Lepisosteus oculatus: one gene and its partner. The protein of the gene in region 2 purifies or fractionates together with the protein of the main gene of each other region. This does not show direct contact. Links are inferred from orthologs where the notes say so. Each region holds a gene or a part of one and is shown on either strand. Other genes may lie near its edges.

Evidence for each region. Proteins that work in one complex are often made in the same cells at the same time.
Region 1: the proteins of camlg (region 2) and tumor necrosis factor receptor superfamily member 13B purify together in Homo sapiens (affinity purification with western blotting; 3 studies listed by BioGRID and IntAct, with this or other methods). This does not show direct contact. The link is inferred for Lepisosteus oculatus from reciprocal best matches to the Homo sapiens genes CAMLG and TNFRSF13B.

What each region holds. Positions count from the first base shown.
Region 1 is NC_090714.1:4,625,629-4,629,382, reverse strand, and holds the start of tumor necrosis factor receptor superfamily member 13B, read left to right. Parts: upstream 1-1,172; 5' UTR 1,173-1,240; intron 1,241-3,397; 5' UTR 3,398-3,409; coding exon 3,410-3,521; intron 3,522-3,754. UniProt on the Homo sapiens protein: Receptor for TNFSF13/APRIL and TNFSF13B/TALL1/BAFF/BLYS that binds both ligands with similar high affinity. Mediates calcineurin-dependent activation of NF-AT, as well as activation of NF-kappa-B and AP-1.
Region 2 is NC_090706.1:23,728,634-23,732,387, forward strand, and holds the start of camlg (guided entry of tail-anchored proteins factor CAMLG), read right to left. Parts: upstream 2,148-3,754; 5' UTR 2,048-2,147; coding exon 1,885-2,047; intron 596-1,884; coding exon 141-595; intron 1-140. UniProt on the Homo sapiens protein: Required for the post-translational delivery of tail-anchored (TA) proteins to the endoplasmic reticulum.

The sequences.
Region 1 (3,754 bases), on a different chromosome or scaffold from region 2:
AATGGAATTCATTTCACGCTCATCGACTTTAAAGTAAATCAGATAGAGCTGGTTTTGCAACTTACTTCATATCCCTTGATTCCCTTGATTTCCTCTTGCAAATGTCTACAGGGTTCATGAAGTAACGTTTCTACAAACCATTTTAATATGGGAACATTTATGTCCCATTAAAGCTGTTTCTGTAATTAGTCATCGTTAGCCTTTGGAGTACAAAAAACAGCCGAGGGAAAAAAAAAAGAACAATTGTGTTTTTTGAGAATAACAGATTCTTGGATTAAGCAAAGTCCTCTGCATGCCTGAATTGACATGTAACAAGTGACCTTTTAAAGCCCGTGCAACCTCATTTTGACTGATTTCATCTGTAGTCAAACGCAAAAGAAAGCAGTGCTATAAAACACTCAGCCGTCTCTGTTTATAATTAATTCATGGGGAGTGGTACTATAAATGAGAATGAATGGAATGTGCATGAAAAAGGCCGTCTTTTCGGGAAAAAGGGCCGATGTTAAAAGTGTATAAATGAGCAAAACATGGATCTTTAATCCTGATCCTGGAGGCACAGTGCCTCTCTGCCGAAAGCACCAACACCTGAATCTGGGAGAAGCTGTTAAATTGGTCCATTTAAGCTGATTAAGGGCTGAATTAGAACAACAACAACAACAACACAAACACACACTGACCCTCTAGGACCAGGATTGGTGACCAGTGGCATATGATTTTTAGGTATCATGGTCCTAACCCAAAGTTAATTACAAATTAGTGTCTTGTATTTTAAAATGTGATTAAAACACTTCAACAAAGAACATATTAGGTGATGATTTCCACTTAAATCCTTTATTGGGAATTTGTCATTGATTTTTGTTTAAACAATTTTGATCATACTGTATTTCACATTTTCTCAGGACAGCTGTTTGAGCTACAGATGGTCTAAACATCCTCTGAGCTAACCAAGACAAATTAGTCCTCAACCTGTATGAAAAACCTTATAGCCGACTCTTGAAATCATTCATTCCGCTGTATGGTATTACAAACATTAGATAGAGACAGATGTTGCAATACTGTGGGCTTTCCTGGGGCAGCAGAGAAGAAACCTGTATACTGCTTAATTAGTGAGGGGGAAACCCCAGGAAATGGTTTAATACAACCATACCCAAATCTCTCTGGTACTCATAGTCTGCTGCTGTACAAGAAACTATATAGTGACTGCATTCCGCTGAAGTTTGCTCTCAGTATATTACCGAAGGTAAGTAACTCAATAGTTCTAGGGTTTTACATATCTAGATACCATACTTACTATCATGTTTGAATCAATTCTTCATTGTTTTGAAAGTGTTGTACCCAAGAGTGCTGAACCTCTTGGTCAAGAACTTTATTTTCCATTGCAGTTTTTTTTGTGTACAGAGCTGAAATGTTCAGGACTGTGTTGCTGAGTGGCAAAGCTATCTCATGGATTATGAAATGTCTTTAAACAGTGAAGGCAACAAGATATTGCACAGATGCTAACCATTAACATGTTGTATAAGAATCTTAAATACTAATTCGTTTCTCCTTTTCATATTGACTTCCAGAATATGTGAGCTATTATAACATAGACTGTTTTTTTTTACATGACATCTGTGTGGAGCTGTTCCGTGTTTTCACGTGTCGAAAATAATTAATGGAAGATTCTAGAAACAGCTGTTTAGGAGAGACTTTGGAATACCAAAATAAATGTTTTAAGCGTAACTCTCATTGACAGAGCTACTGAAAAACAGTGAGGATTTTGCTTGATTTTCACATGCTTTGATTCAGAATCAACTAAAGGAAAAGACTCAAATAGATAAGGTTCCACACGCCTTTTCAGGATTTTAACAAGATCAAAAAAGCATTGTTAAAATTCTCAGTAGGTAATATATAGTATAAGACATCTTTGGACCTGAAAAATAGAAACCTGGTGCTAAAAGATTTATGGCAATCTTTTATAGCAATCCATCCTTCACAAACACTGACACATATATGTAACTGCTGTTTTTTTAAATTGGTTGAAACACTAATATGAGCATATTATGATATGTAATATAACGTAGATACAATAAAAACATGAAAATGTAACTGGAAAATAGGTTTACACGTTGTATCCAAGGTAAAAATCATTCAGTACATTTTGGGCTGTAGCTTTTAAAAAGGAAATTTGTAAAAATCAGTAAAACTGTACATTTCTGTCTTTAATCCACTGTATTTCCATCTTCTCCATCCTTTTTTTAAGAACTTTCTAAGACTATTCTAAAGTAAATTCAGTTTTGACTTCTAAATGTGATAGTAATGAAAAAAAATAGAAATTGCAGCTCATTTCTTTAATGAATCTTACAAGATATATTATTGCAAAATAAGCAAATTTGCTTAACATGTGATCTAAATTACACTTAATAAAATCATAAATAACATTTACTATTTTATTTAGTTTATATACAGTATACCATGTATTGGTACATTTATGCAACTGTATAAAAGAAATATTATTCCAGGATTCAAGGGCAAATTTAAAAGGTGGCTTTCAATAAGAAACTAATTTAGCGCTGAAGCCCAGAGTTCAGTTCTTAGGGTGCTGTCCGTGTGGAGTTTGTATGTTCTTTCTGTGTTCATGTGGGTTTTCACCAGTTGCTCCAGTTTCCACCCACAGTCCAAAGACATAGGACATAGGGCGGTAGCTCTGTGGCTAAGGATCTGCGCCTGTGGCTGAAAGGTTGCTGGTTCATGCTGGTCCCGGGGCCGGCAGAGGGATCCTACTCCGTTGGGCCCCTGAGCAAGGCTCTTAACCCCAACTGCTCCAGGGGCGCCATATAAATGGCTGACCCTGCGCTCTGACCCCAAGCTTCTCTCTCCCTGCCTCTGTGTCTCATGGAGAGCAAGCTGGGGTATGTGAAAAGAAATTCCTAATACAAGAAATTGTATATGGCCAATAAAGTGATCTCATACTGGCAGACTAATTGGCTCTGGGAAAAATGGCCCTGGTGTGAGTGTGTTGTGTCTGTATGTCCTGCTATAAACTGAAATGTGTAATCATGGACTTTAAAACTTGTATACCCTACTCAGAAAATGAATTTGTCTCAGAATAAAAGGTAAGCATTGGAAGACTATCTTTTGCATAACGTATTATGCGTTAGTCCTACGCGAGTTTTAAAACGCGCTTCAAAAGATCTCAATTACAGTTACTCATAGATCAAATCTGTCTCAAAGTAACTGTCTCTTGCGCACATGCTAGACAGAAACATGGTATTGTATTCTGATTGATCAAGGCCGTGATACTAGGCTAGGAATCCAAACATCCAAACGTAGTTCCCATATGCGGCACGAGCCTTTTTAATCAGCATGATAAGTTAACTAGAATGACTAATGAATATTTGTTGATGTTGTTTTCCAGAGACCAGGCAATATGAGACGCTGCCCTGACAGAGAGTACTGGGACAGGCTTGTCCGAAAATGTATGCCTTGCAAGAACATGTGTCGGGGTCAGCCCCAGCCCGAGAAATGTGTCCCTATCTGTGGTTAGTGTTGTCCCTGTCTCTGGGAGATCTTCCTGTCTACTATGAGTGCAAGATAGCCTTTAAAACACAAAAGCTTCTGAAATACGGACGCAGAGGCTTAAATAATTCAAGCATGTGCTCAGAGTGTTCTACACTGGAAATGGCTTACTAAAGTTCCATGAAAAACTGAAGTGGGCGTTTTAGCTTGTACTGCGGACCTGGAAGATTAACAGAACTTTCCAAATAAATTATTT
Region 2 (3,754 bases):
CCGCAGGGTGTTAAGCCGAAAAACAGATCAAGCCCCAAACCAAAGTGAAGCTTGTTAGCTTTCCTGCAACCAGATCTTTACCAGCTGGAGAGGGAAAGTGATTAAATCAAACAAATCAAAGATCTGCGACACAGACATACCAAATACTTGCAGACAAAGACCCTGACAGTGATGGCTAACATCACGCTCCCGATGAGGCGGAAGACTCGGAAGGCATCTAGCTCCTCTGGGCCCGAGCCGTTTTCCTGAGCCGGCTTCTCGCTGATCAGCTGGCTGCGGAGCTTCATGGCCTCATCGAAGCGCGACAGGTACTGCTGCAGCCCGCGGCGGGGGGAGCGGGGGATGCCGTCGGAGGGGACGTCTGCCCGGGATCTCTGCCGCACCTCCCCAGCGCTTTCGCCCTCGCCGCTGCGGCCCGCGGGGTCCCTGCACTCCCGCAGGGGAGACCCCTGACGCTCAGGCACGTCGCCGTGGTGATTGCTCACCCCCATCTCACTCTGGAAGACTGGAAGTCTCTTGGATTGGGCGGACAGAGACCGCGGCTCTGCTCTGCCATGATCCAAGGGAACTCTGGGCTCCAACGTATGTCTGTCATCTTGTAGAAGATAAGGAATAAAATTATCAAACCACAAATTGGATTCTTTCAGAATGGGATGATAAATTGTAGAAGTTGACAAACCAATTTACAGGGTTAATTACTCCCATTTTAATTGCTGAACCAGTACTGGTTCACCTACCTTAGTAGTTCTCAGTGTCTTTTCTGTAAAACCCATGCCTTTTCTGGTTTTCACAACAGTTCAGTTCTTAGTTACAGACTAATGTATTTTCTGAGTTCCATTTTTAAAATGCTGTTTCAGTTTTTCAAAAGGGGAATAAAATTTGATACTAATACAAACCCTGTACTAACGCGTTCATGTGTGTTAGATGGAGTATAACCCATTAGATTCATACTGACTCATACTGATATGACTGAAACCTGATATACTGTTTTTATCACAAAAGCGTGTTCATGGTCCTGGTCCCTTAATAAAGGTTTGTCTCATTTATAGGTTCAAATCAGCTACAGTAATTAAGGGCCCAGCTGGAACAAAAAAATGAAAATACTTGGATCTCCAAGAAAGCCTAAATTGAAAAAAAAGGGATTTCATGCCAAACAAAAAGCCTTAGGAAATGCATAATCATTCATAAAAGACATGGACATTATTATTTTGCAACTACAGCATATTTTTTTCAGAATGTTAACACTATAACAGATCATTACAAGCATACATATGTCAAAATATGTTTAACCTGAATAGAGAAATAAGACATGAAATATGCAATCTCTCCGATAGCCTCTTCTTTCAGCATTAATAACTTTGTGACAGCAATTCCAGACAACTGACCAGAATATACAAGCCCAGTGATAGGCGTAGCAGGTGTCCTCCTTGTGCCACTCCTTTAAACTCGATTTATTCGAATTCTTAAAATAATAACATAAAATAGCTTTAATGCTTTTAGTTTATAAAACCCCACATGAATTATCTCATCTACCTTTCAAAGAACAATACTTCCCAATATTAAGCAGTTAAATCAAAGTCAAACGAGAAAAAAAGTTACAAAACGCATACGATTAAAATATACAGTACCTATATAATTCGTGTTCATCTAATTTAGATTGGTTTAAATTAAAGACAAAAGAATTTGCAAAAGTATTCGTTAAGGGTGGTGATAAACTGCGCTGTAATGGTATGTAGCTAGTGTGATTTATTTACAGGAAATGTATCCGTCTTTTTACTGATATCGGTAATCTTTAATGTCCTTTAATCTTTCAGATGAATAGTTTGATTACAATTGTATGAACCTTTTCATTCCCGTTTTCAGTATTTTTAATAAGCGCCTCACCGTTGGCGTCTACGTCGCTCTTATTAAACCCCATGATCCTGTTCATTCTGTCTTCTGAATTCATCAGCAGTTTTCTCCTCCTAATTTCTGCTCTTCTTTTCGATGCAGACATATTGTTTATTTCTTCAGAAGCCTTTTGCATGTTTTGATCTGCAGACTCCATTATCGTAAATGTTAAAATACGTTTTATACTGTCAGTGTAACAAAATGACACCTCGACGTATCTACCACTAATACAATGGGCAAGGCGCTCCTCAAACGGACGCACTTTGATGATGTCACACTTAATAACTGATCGCTCTGCAGCGCGCAAAACGGGAAATAAGAGAAAACGGGAAACGATAAAGAGAAATAAAAGAGATAAAGAGAAATGTGTTTTCATCTGTTTAATTATAAACTTAATTAAAACTTCCTTTACTTAAATCAAAATTTAAAGGTAATACCCTCATATTCATATTAATAGGTTTGGAAGGCTTTCCTATCTGTAAAACTATACATAAGAAATTGTACCATGGTACATTTATGGTACCAGTACTATGGTACGGTACCTTGGTGTTTTTGACAGTACCATAGTACATGTACCATGGTAGAAGTACCGTTGTACTTATACTGTATACCATGGTACTCTTAAGGTACCTTGAGTATGTGGTACGTTTTATCCTATGATGTTTTGACAGACGTATGGTACTTGTAGGGGTACCATGGTACATAACACTAGTTATTAAAATATGATTGACAGATAAATAGATATATAGGTCTACTTTATTAATCCTGAAGAAGACTGCAGAGAAAATAGAAAGCCAACATGAAATGTACAGGCAAATGTACAAAATTCATTAACCAGTTAAGTCCAAATGTATTAATATTTACATCAATAGAGAATATGATCATAACAGTTCAAATACAACAATAACAACAAGAACATTTAAATAATAAATTCACAGCTGAAGTTAAAGGGAGCTGGTCATTTAAAGGTAGACTGGCTCATGTTCATGATGCTGGTTCTCCTGGCCCACACCACACTGACGTTTTAGAATATTTGCTGCATTAGATAGCTTCTGTCTCATAAAGGCTCTGATTTCTGCATGGGTCTTCTCAGGGAACACAGTCTTTACTTCAGCTAACAAGAAAAAGAGAACAGAAAAATATTATTTACCTGAACAAAATATACTAAAAGATTATTTCAGAATATAACCTAAGCCATCTACACTCACGAATTATAGCTTCAACTTCCTCTCGGGACAGGGGTGGCCTTATTTCGCTGTTAGATGAAGAGCCCAGGAAATAGTGAGATGCCATGTATGCTGTAGTGTACAAGAATGCATCAGATCATTTGTGTATTTTGCTGCAGTTGCACAGGAACAGCGATCCCTCAATGCGATGAGCTGTACATTTTATAGAGAAAGACAACATTTGGAGAACAAGTGTGAGGAAACAATTGAGCTATCTGTGTATGCTTGGTTGAAGTACACGTGTGTACCTTCTACTCAATTATAAAGCATTAGAACTGCAAATGGCTTTACACATACCTTAGCCTGTACACCCTGAGGTGTGGACTCTCTTGTGAACTGGCCAATTGCAGGTTTAGTTTTAGTTGCCTAGAAAAGAGTAGAATAGAACGAACAATACTAGAAATACCCAAAAGAACACTGTCACATTGAAATAGTTTGTGTGTGTTTGTCACACACAAACATGTGTGCATGTGTTTGTGTGAATGAGCAGTACATGAGCAGTACATCATCTCTCTTTCCATCAGAAAATATGCTAGGTGACATGATATCTTGATAAATGTGAGAGGTTTTGATTGCATTTCACAACGTAAGATGGTGAAAGAGGGATGTAATGAAGGAATATGTTAGGGATAGGGACG